3 linked regions of the Lytechinus pictus genome follow. The main gene of each other region encodes a partner of the protein of the gene in region 3 in a complex. Links are inferred from orthologs where the notes say so. Each region holds a gene or a part of one and is shown on either strand. Other genes may lie near its edges. The genes, in order: small nuclear ribonucleoprotein G-like, U6 snRNA-associated Sm-like protein LSm7 and U4/U6 small nuclear ribonucleoprotein Prp4-like.

What was found.
Region 1: U4/U6 small nuclear ribonucleoprotein Prp4-like (region 3) and small nuclear ribonucleoprotein G-like share a complex: the UniProt entries of both Homo sapiens proteins name them as parts of the U4/U6-U5 tri-snRNP complex. The link is inferred for Lytechinus pictus from reciprocal best matches to the Homo sapiens genes PRPF4 and SNRPG.
Region 2: U4/U6 small nuclear ribonucleoprotein Prp4-like (region 3) and U6 snRNA-associated Sm-like protein LSm7 share a complex: the UniProt entries of both Homo sapiens proteins name them as parts of the precatalytic spliceosome. The link is inferred for Lytechinus pictus from reciprocal best matches to the Homo sapiens genes PRPF4 and LSM7.

The regions. Positions count from the first base shown.
Region 1 is NC_087256.1:12,712,856-12,716,608, reverse strand, and holds the start of small nuclear ribonucleoprotein G-like, read right to left. Parts: upstream 2,783-3,753; 5' UTR 2,646-2,782; coding exon 2,614-2,645; intron 1-2,613. UniProt on the Homo sapiens protein: Plays a role in pre-mRNA splicing as a core component of the spliceosomal U1, U2, U4 and U5 small nuclear ribonucleoproteins (snRNPs), the building blocks of the spliceosome.
Region 2 is NC_087247.1:61,096,693-61,100,445, reverse strand, and holds the start of U6 snRNA-associated Sm-like protein LSm7, read right to left. Parts: upstream 2,570-3,753; 5' UTR 2,456-2,569; coding exon 2,450-2,455; intron 1-2,449. UniProt on the Homo sapiens protein: Plays a role in pre-mRNA splicing as component of the U4/U6-U5 tri-snRNP complex that is involved in spliceosome assembly, and as component of the precatalytic spliceosome (spliceosome B complex).
Region 3 is NC_087259.1:20,214,636-20,218,388, forward strand, and holds the start of U4/U6 small nuclear ribonucleoprotein Prp4-like, read left to right. Parts: upstream 1-1,064; 5' UTR 1,065-1,153; exon of another isoform or gene 1,154-1,208; intron 1,209-3,753. Other genes in the region: vesicle-trafficking protein SEC22b-like, read right to left, coding at 234-308. UniProt on the Homo sapiens protein: Plays a role in pre-mRNA splicing as component of the U4/U6-U5 tri-snRNP complex that is involved in spliceosome assembly, and as component of the precatalytic spliceosome (spliceosome B complex).

The sequences.
Region 1 (3,753 bases), on a different chromosome or scaffold from region 3:
ATTATGATTTTTGTTAGACAATTGGATTTTTTTGTTTGCTTGAAGTTTGAACTTTTCCTCTTTCTTTTATATCTTTCTTTCTTCATTCTTCTATCCTTCCTGCTTGCCCTTTTTCTGCTCCATCTATCTTTATTTCCTATCTTTCTTCTCTGATCCTTTCTCTAGCTCTGTGTTCATTTTTCTTTATTTCCCACTTTCTCTTACTTTCCTTCTTTTTCAAAATTTATTTTTTTATTTCCTTCATTCTTCCTTTCCTTAAACTTTTCTTTGCTTCCTTCTCCCTTTTCTTTTTGTTCTTTCTCTCCTTCCATTATCAGGGCGCGACAAACCCGCTTGCCCGGGGCAAGTGAAAATGACGTGCGGGCAAGCATTTCTCAAAGTCAATTGCCCGATCGGGCAAGTGGTTGTTTTGAAAATGAACAAGATAAATTGACAGTAAAGTTTAATAATTTTTTGATAAATTGCAATTATCGGCCAATTATCTCTCATACAATGTCATACCAGTAAAAAAACAGTGGAAACATGTCAAATCAGCGCCAATTTACCAACAAAAGGCGACAATTTATCGCCAGCGGTACGCGTCCCGTTCGATGGAGGCTGCCATCTTACTTTCTAAACTACAATGTGCGCATGCGCTACTAATCGACGAAGGAGCTAGCTGGGGAAACCCCTCTCTCGCCCTCTGAGCGCATGTACGGACGTACACGAGCGATCGCGATCGAGCCAGCCGAGTCTCGAGCTAGATCGCGCTGAATGCATGCAAGCTTCGGACTGACTCGGCCAGGACCAGACGTCCCGTATTTTATTCATTTCTAAAACATTTTAGTTTTTTTTTTTTTTTTTATATATAAAAGAAACACCAAATATCATTAGGATTTTTGTTATATGATTGGATTGTTTTTAATTGCTTGAAGTTTGAACTTTTTCCTCTTTCTTTCTTTTCTATCCTTCTTGCCCTTTTTTGTTACATATCTATTTTTATTTCCTGATCCTTTCTCCCTCTCTCTCTCTGTTCATTTTCTTTCTTTCCTTCTTTCTCTTACTTGCCTTCTTTATTGCATTTCCTTTTTTTATTTCCTTCATTTCTTCTCCCTTCCACTCGTTTTTATTTTCGTTCTATCTCTCCTTCCGTTATTTTCTTTTTTTTCATTCTGGCCTCCCTTCATTCTTTCCTCCCTCTCTTTCCTCCTTTCTTTCTTTCATTATTTATTTCATTTTGTCCTTATTCTTTTCCCTTATACTTTTTCCCTTTCTTCCTTCCTTCCTGTTTTCTTCTTTCTTTCCAAGAATGAAGGCCAGAACAACTTGAACAAGAAAAAGAAATGCCAAGGGCAGCGCCAGTAAATCAAGTTCAGCCAGGACAGAAAAGAATAATTAAGAGCAAAAGAATTTTTGAAAAAAAATCGGGCAAGCAGTTTTTTCTATCGAGCAAGCAAATTTTTTTATCACTTGCCCGACAGGGCAAGTGATGAATTTTTTTTTGTAGAGGCCTGCATTATTATTTTCATTCTCTCCTCCCTCTCTTTCATTCTTTATTTTATTTTTTTCCTTTCCTTCTAATTCTTTTCCCTCATTCTTTCTTTCCCTCCATTCCTGTTTTTCTTCATTCTTTCCTCCTCCTTTTATCTTACTTTCTTTTTTCCTTTCTCTCCTTTATTTTGTCTTTCACACATTTATTCATCTTCCCTTCCTTTTTTTTTCTTTCTATATTCGTTTCAAAGAATGACGGAAACCTTTTTTCTCTTTTATTCTAACTTTCTTTTTATTTTTTTCATTTCCCTTCATTGTTTTCTTTCTTTCTTCTGAATTCATCTCTTTTCGTTCGTCTTTACTTTCTCTCCTTCATTCTTTTGTTCACCCTCCCTTCCAATTCTAAATATTTTTTCACAAGTCTAACAATGTGTAGCCTTCTTTGTTGATCCGCTCGTGCAGCATGCTGTCGATTGTCCCATATATCATTTTGTGAAATCTGGTCACCCTGAGTCCCGACCATCCATAAATGCATAATGACTTGCCATTTATCCAAGTTTTCTGACTTGACTTGTTTTTAATTTGAATCAACATGTTTACATTGTCATTGATGATTGACTGGCATGCTCCATTGCATTGGTGCTAGCACATCTTCACAGCCACATGTCAAATTTCTGGGATTTCTAGTAACTTGTGTGGAGAAAGCTGCGAAACTGCAATTAGCGCCAATGTCCGGACAATCACAATGTCAATGGACCCCCTCCTACTGCACGCGCGTTACCCATCGCACCACATCAAAATAAATGAATGGGACTTTCCGTCAACTCCATCAAAAATGCAAATGATGCCCCACATGATCAAGACGCGTAGTGTGAAAAAGGAAGAAAACATCACATTCATAACACAAAAAACGAATGGGAACACATTTCGGAGTAGCATCTAGACTCTACCACTATTTATAAGGATTATTCCATGCAATTATATTACAAAATATTTCCAATCTAAATAATCATCAAGGCAAGCGCACATAAATTCGCCAAACGCTAATTCTGAAGCAGCTATCCTAGCGCAAAGATTTAACAGTCAACACAATGGGCTATCCTTCAATATACTCCTTGAAAACGAGAAATTATATAAACATACTTCTTGAGTTCTGGTGGATGTGCTTTACTCATGATTTGGTGAGAAGATCGCAAAGATTTCTGAAGATTTAAATCAGATTCAGTTTGGGTTCCGAAAAGGCGAAGCAGAAACGATCCGAATTTGTGAAGTCAAAAGACTATTTTTTTTTCTTTCGTTGTATGGTATCGGCAATCAACCACTAGGCGTTGTGGCGTGCGCCTGTAATCCAAGCTGTGGGGAAGTTACAAATTGATGCAGAGGTTCGAGGTTCGAGCCCTGGTCACGTCTTTCGGATAGTGACGTTAAAGGTCGGTCCCAGACGTAAATAATCATATCTGATTGATACACGTCTGACAAAACTCAAATACACACACACACTCGCCACTCAAACCAACATAAGAAGAAGATGGTTGTCAATTAGGCCTATCTCTCTTTCTCTCTCTCTCAGGGTCTCTGTTCCTCTGGCGGATCCGGGGGGGGGGCACAGCCGACCCGTGCGCCCCCCCCCTTTCGAGAGGCACAATTAAAATTTGTAATTTAAAGATGCTATTAAAACACAAGTGTGCCCCACCCCCCTTAAAAGTGAAGACCGTGGACGAAATGTTCTATATGGTTGAAAAAAAAAATTAATTTTTTTTTCTTGCTTGTCAAAAATTTTCGTGGACGAAATATCCTTGAATTTTGGTTGAAATCCTTTTTTTTTTTTTTGCTTGTCAAATTTTTCCTCGGGAAAATGTGCCCCTCTTTGGAAAATCCTGGATCCGCCCCTGCTCTGTTCAATTTAATATTTTGATGCCAGGTATATTTTCGAATTAATTATTTTGTACAATGTGCGGAAGATGAGTAAAGAACAGCATAATAGTCGTACCACAGATTCAGAACGCATTGTGCTGGGTTGTTTGTGTGCGTCAGTATAGGCTCAAGATTATCCCTTGCCAATGTTCAAACGGACTTTTAATAAAGGTCAAGTTCGCCACCAAAGAAAAATATTGATTTGAATAAATAAACAAAATATTAAAAAGCATAACGCTGAAAATTTCATCGAACCCGTTATAAAATAAGACAGTTGTGACATGTTGAAGATTCACCTATTTTTCAGAAAACAGTTCTTGCACATTTCCTATTCAAATAAAAGATTTTATGATGTCCCTCGCTCAGTGG
Region 2 (3,753 bases), on a different chromosome or scaffold from region 3:
TTAGGTGATTTGCGTCGAGACGATTTTGTGACCACTCGCAAAGCATTTCGGGATTGAATATAACCACCTTATTTTCTCTGAGCTCTTCGCTGAACCCATCATCACAGTGCAGCTGCAGCGCAGCGCGCAGCCAATACAATGCATCCGATGCATGGGTTGTTTTTTCGCCGTCCATGCCATGGTCTCGGACTCAGAGTTGAAATTTAGACCCGGATTTCGGGGATACAGCGCCTTTATTTCAGATTTATAGACTTAAAAGTCAAATGACATTTAAAATTTGAAATCTAACCTTGAACAATCATCGTTGATAAACATCAGCCCTGAAGCCATTACACTTCAAATCAGGCCAGGCAAATTAGATGTCATTGTCTAAGTTGCTAGATCTATGACGAGTCGCCTGAAGCCCCAGCGCATCATCAACGTCACTAGCTAGCTGCGCGACCGGCCCAGACTCGGCGCACCCAGGCCAGAAAAATGACCTCGATTATTACGGTGGTTGTCTATGCATTTATTAGTGGTGCAGCGAAATTCAGCAGAAGAAAATAAGAGATATGAGGTATCCTCGTCACAGGCTTAATATTCCAAAATGAGGAAAAATGTCAAAATCATGATTATTTAAGCTAAATATTTTCTTTAAAAATGAAAGTAATATTTTTAATATTTATACCCAGAATAACCGATCTAATAATTGTTCATTAAAAAATATTTGAAATTAACAAATGAAAAAAAATCAACTCGACAAATTTCCCAAAACACCACCTTATTTTTTAAAGTGGTCACAAAATTCGAGCGGAGTTGACCTTCCTTAGAGCAACACGCTTGTGTGTTGCTGCCCTCTACGTTCGTTGGTTTGAGCCTTGGCCCTTGGCTTGACTACAAGACACTGTCACTGGCCTATTCCATCCCGTCCCAGGCTCCATGGAGAGTAAGCCTACGTCAGTAAATGACTTTTACTCTCTAGGAGCTTCCAGGCTACCCAAAACATTGAGTCTACCCTCTTGCTACTAGTAGTCGCCGACGTATTATAGCTATGCCAGCTAGTATGGTTACCTTCCGGGCCCCGGCGGCGGCCGGCCCACTTGGCTTAATTCGCAGTCCGGAGCTCTCTGGGTTACAGACACGTTATATTGAGCTACCGTACCGTATGGGCACTAGTATTCAACCCGGCATAATTCAAAGATTTTTACAAATTCCCCCAAATATTTAGAAATAGGGAATTTATCTTAATTTCATACCTCTGTTATTTCCAGGGTAATCTGTTGTCGGTATTTTCTTTATCGATCTGTCGACTGTATGCGCGGAGGATCGAATTATGCGGCAATGACCTTTTGCACTGAATTGCACTAGTATTCAACCTAGTGATGATAGACAGCAAATTTAAAAATGGTTTAGACTGCAATACTAGATCTAGATCTATGTAAGTCTCTGGCTTTGACTAATTCCCTGTTCGGTCTCATCTCAAATGGTCTAGTCCTTAGTTGGATGGGACAAGGACAGATTGAGAGACAGGGCCATCTTTCGTTGCTAGGTTGAATACTAGTGCCAAAAACCATTGCCGTATAATTCGATCGCCCGCACACACAGTCGACTGGTTGAAAAAAAAAAAAAATAACGCAAAAAGAATAACCAGCATTTGGTCTTGGAAATAACACAGGTCTGAAATTAAGGTAGAATCCATATTTCTATATATTTGAGGAAACTCTCCAAACGGGTTGAATACTAGTGCCCTTACGATACCTTACTGAGCTGACTGAGCTGGCTGAGCAGAGCCTGAGGCCGAGCACTCATTCAATGAACAAGGTTATGATATAACCTTGTTCTCAGTTATATCTCCATGTGTGGCAAAATAAGGGTGGCAATGTTTGGCTTATTTTCTCTTTTTCTTTGGGACAAATGCTTGATTTTTTTACACTGACAGTTTCCATTACACTTATTCATCATACAACTTGGCCCTTAAGTAAATTTGATTCTTTACATTATTTTTTTCTTAATTAAAGATAAAAATAATTAGAGATAAAAAAAATATAATTTTCTTGCCATATTACTTTCCACCAATAGAGGGCGTACACAAAAATATGCCCAGAATTCAAGGTTTTGAGCGCCCTAGTGAATACAAAAATTATTCCCAAGTTACTAATGAAAAATAAATTGCAACTGTTTAGAAATTAGTAATTTTGGTCACAAAAGTGATATTTTAATGATTTTTTGAAGTGTGTGCTCTGTACATCATTGGCATGCCATAGACCTACGGTACCTGTACTGTAGATTCCCCACAGGCAGGGATGGTTGCAGTGAACAAGTGAGGCCGAGTAACTTTTTATTCTTCCTTTTTCTTCCTCCTCCAGACTATGTCCTCTTAACAGTCCTATGCCATAAAACTAAGGATTACCATAAAAATTGTCATTGATACTACATATTAGAAATCAGATTAATCATTATTAAAACTTACTGCCATGGATGTTGCTTGGGATCTTTCACCACGACTCTTATTTGTTAGCACCAAGTACAAAGATTCATGTTATAATTTATGCGAATTGCACCGTATATACCGTATACCGTACTGTACAATACCGATACCGTACTACCAACGAACGTAGAGGGCAGCAACCACTGATCTGCTGATCTCCAGAGTTATCAATAGACAGAGTGGCGACACGCGCACTGAAAACAGGATACGCGCGGTCAAAGGTCAGCCATGGGGGGCTGATTAGTTCCCTCTGCGCGCACATGCAATTATTTGGCAATCATCGCTATTATCATAATTGATTGTCGACAAACTAGCCTAGGTCCGGAAGAAATGATAATGAATCTAATGTAATTTCTTCTCTTTGGTTTAGAGCTTCATGATAGATCCCCCATTTTGGTTTGTCTGGCATTATCATTAATATTATTCTAGATGAATTCCACTTTTTTATTGAAAATTAATGTGATGAATTATAGAGACTTGATTTACTCACCGATGAATGAAAAATGGAAATAAAGAGGAAAATAGGCAAATAAGGAATATGGGAACACGAAAAATTAACAAGGTGATGCTGAAGACATAATGGACTGGAAAACTCGGGGGAAGGGGGCAGCAGGGTGACCAGATTTCACAAAATGAAATACGGGACAATCGACAAAATAATCAACATAGAAGGCTACACATGTACAGTGTTATACACTTGTGAAAAAAATATAAAGAATGGGAAGGAAGGGTGAACGAAAGAAATAAGGAGAGAAAGAAAATGCGAAAGAAGGAAAAGATATTAATTGAGAATAAAGAAAAAAAATAAAGGGGAAAATGAAGGAAAAAATAAAAAAAGTTAGAATAAAAGGATGAAAAAGAATAAAAGAGAGAAAAAAGGTTTCCGTCATTCTTTGAAATGAATATAGAAAGAAAGAAAAAGAAAGGGAGGGAAGATGAACAAAAATTAATGTGTGAAAGACGAAATAAAGGAGAGAAAGAAAAAAAAAAGTAAGAAAATTAAAGGAGCGGAAAGATAAATGTTTCCTTCATTCTTTGAAAGAAACAATAAAAGAAGAAAAACAGGAAGGGATCGGGAAGCTAGGGAAGGAAGGAAGAAGGATGAAAGGGAAAGAAAGAATAAGGGAAAGGAATAAGAAGGAAAAAAAAATAAAGAATGAAAGAATTGGGGAGAAAAGAGAGGGAAGAAAGAATGAAGGGATGAAAGAATAAAAAAAGAGAAAATAATGGAAGGAGAAAAAGAACGAAAAGAAAAAAGGAGAGAAATGGAGAAGGAAGCAAAGAAC
Region 3 (3,753 bases):
CCGTGCCTATACAAGGCATGGCAACAAATAGTCAAAACTGACTAGTTTGCATATTCAAAATAACATTAACACCCCCCCCCCCTCACACACACACAGACACAAACAAAAGAGGGGGAGACTGACGGACACTGCACTGGCTCGTTTTGACTTACCGGTACTTTTATTATTATTTTTTTTTACTTATGCAATTTGTTTGGTTTTCTTTCTCTAATGAGTATTCTAGATAAACTTACTTGTTCATCCTCCTGCATCGAGGCTGCTAAGGGCAGCCCGTCAGCGACACGGGCTATCATCGTCATCAAAACCATCTTGAGAAATTGTTTATGATGAAAAAGAGAAAGGAATGGATGGATGGACTGGTCAACAAGACAACTGCAAGTGCAACTGTTCCTCAGGTTTGCCTACAGCAAAATCAATACGTGGAGCTAGTGATGCTGAACTAGGTTATACAGAGATCTTCTAAGCTCTCAGCACGTCGATTCCCGATGAGCGTGGATAGCTCTTCTCTTACTGCTTCGTTAAAACCTTGAGAAATGTGTCGAATATAGCAAGATAACCAAATGGTATACCTGAAATTCAATTGAAATCGAAATTCCAGGGTGGTATAGGATCTAAAAAGAGATTCATACGTGTACCACAAAATTAGCCTTATCTCAAAACGCACAGCAGAAACTTTGAAGATGAATTATCAATTTCGAATGCATAAATTGCATTTCTCAAAGATTTAATTTAGAGAACGCAACTATTTTGGAAGATCTTCAATTAAAAAATAAATAATACAATCATAGACGAAGTAAAACACTTATAACGTGCAGTTTTATTGAATTTTATAATACTATGACGTCTGGTATTGACCATGAAATCCGAAGAGGAAAAAGGTAAGAGAGAGTGGTAATGAATAAAATATCAATTTAAGAATCGTATTTCCAAGTATTAAAAATAAAATACGGGTCAATGATTTTTTTTATTTTTATCAAAAAAAATAGTTTAAAAATAATATTTTTAGACTTTTAAGTTTCAAATTAAAAAGAATTGAATTTATTTAATATATTTGAACCCCAAACATATTGTTGAAATTCTTTAATTGCAAAATAAACGAACAGTCAACTTTGTAGTGGCTATCTTCAACTACTTTGACCGACGAACTTCGAACGTGAGGAGCTTTCTTATATTTCGTATTACGTATTTCCCCCCTATTGATTGATAATGTACGTATTAAAATGAATATTTCACTGTTTTTTTATGTTAAATTTTCATTTTTATTCAATCAATTGAATAATGTCAAGTATATAATAAGTCTTGCCGTGGATGTGTGGTGTACCTGACTCAGCTCTGAATTGCGTAATGTATGTCCCACGTATTTAAAATTGCGTGGTAAAAAAGTTCAATTGAAGAAGGTGAAAATGGCAGAATGCATCTGATCTGGCAGGGCCGGGGCGGTATCACTCACACTAATACGTAACCCAGAGAGCTCCCGCCCGCGCAGCGGGCGGGAGCCCAGAAGCTTACCGTGTATTTTACCATTGTCACCGGACTAGGGTGATTTATGGTCTAAATATTTCTCAAAATGAATTGTGAAAACAGAAAGTATACAATCAATTACCACGATTATATGGATGAAGGTCTAACGAGTGGCAGTTTCCTGACATCTGGGCACAGACTGGAACCTCAAATAAACGAAAAGTTCTCTCCTCTACCCCAGTCTCGATCGGCCATTTTGTTACAATTTTTAACAAAAATGGCCGATCGAAACGGGGGTAGAAGGAGAGAACTTTTCGTTTTTTTGAGGTTCCAGTCTGTGCCCAGATGTCAGGAAACTGCCACTCGTTAGACCTTCATCCATATAATCGTGGTAATTGTATACTTTCTGTTTTCACAATTCATTTTGAGAAATATTTAGACCATAAATCACCCTAGTCCGGTGACAATGGTAAAATACACGGTAAGCTTCTGGGCTCCCGCCCGCTGCGCGGGCGGGAGCTCTCTGGGTTAACTAATACGAGGTTCGTATATATTATACGAACCTCGTACACCGGACCGTGTTTGACCGTAGATTTCGAACTAGTCGGCAAACATTGCTTCATTGCTGAAGTAATATTTGCCGAAACTCCTTCTCGCTACGCACCGGGGCTCTTTCCGGTAAGTAGCAATACATAACAAAATTATACATATGATATTTAACTCATTTCATTTAAAAAGAGCAAATTTCGCTTACCTCGGCCTAGCAAGTGACTTCGTTTGTCTCTTCTACGGAAATACAAGGAAGCCCGTTGGTGGCGCTAATAAATTTCACAACCTTGATTCAGCTCCTCGGTAATTTTATAACTGTGTCTAAATTCTTTGAATGCGCAATTCTTATGATTAATTTACTAATTATGGGCACCAATAAATAAAATAGGGTAACGCGCCCGGTATTCGGTCACCTCCCAGAATTCGGTCAGACAGCTGTTTCAACAGCTGTTGAAAAAAAAAAAATAATGCATGAGCCAGAAAACTTTGGCATATCATGCAAGAAACCAGCACTTCCAGCCCACCTCAAAAAAAATGTCGATTAAGACAAGCACACAGCCAAAAACTAACCTTAAAATTGACCGCGTCGGGGGGGTTTTGTTTACTTCCGGGTTTCTTAGCTATTGAGTTAAGCGGACGCAGCCTCATGTAAACTCTTGTGACGTCATGACTTCGTGTGTAGGTGTAGTGAATTTGGTACGAGTGTGAAGGGGAAGACTTGTGTGTTCACCCAGTCGCAGCGAATATGCAACTAGCAGTGAAACTGATGAGTAGCGAGGGCTTATACATTGCCCCTATAGTGAGAGGGCGCTCGACCAGAATTCGGTCGCGCAACATTGAGTGTTTTGCCGGTGTGTTTGTAAGGAGGGAAGAGCGTGCAGATACGTTGCTCCTCGCAAGTGAAACACTTCTCTTAATCCATTTTTTGTTCTGTTAGGCCTAAATAAGTTTAGAATATATCTAAAATTATTTTTCATGAATAAAAATCTTAAATCAAAGATGTTTATTGCCTATGAAAATGCAATTTGAGCAGGTGAATGACGATGGTGACGAAGTTGGTAAATTTGACCAAGGCTCATTTTGATTGCCTTTGCGTGATTGAGTTGAAGTCTACATCTTTCTCAAATGATAGGGCAAATGATATGCCTACGTTAGGCCTAAATAAGTTAAGAATATACCTACAATTATTTTTATTAATAAAAATCTTAAAACAAAGATGTTTATTGCCTGTGAAAATGCAATATGAGCGGGTGAATGACGATGGTGACGAAGTTGGCGAATTTGACCAGGGCTCATTTTGATATTGCCTTTAACGTGATTGAGATTAATTCTTAGTGATTTCCTTTTTGGCCTCAATAGTTAAACTGTGTTATTTTTTTAATGTTATCATAGTTATTTTCAATATTATTATTAATTTGAATAATACATCCGGTTCCAGGGATGATGGACCCCCCAAGAAAAAAAAATTAAAAAGGCTCTTCCACGAGTGTTATTTTAAAAGACGTCATTGCTAGATCAAAGGCTGGAAAATTGCCCCTCAATTTTGCCTGTCCCTCACATATCAGAGGTCTGCAGCTAATTTTTTTGGTCGTTTTAATTTAAAACAAGGGGCCTTTTAATATTGTCATCATTGCTAATAACATCAATCGAAAGTGGATGACAATGTTGACGAATTCGGTTAGAATTATCAGTTACTGTTGTGAATTCAATTGGAATTCAGTTGCCCGAGTTAGGCCTAAAGTG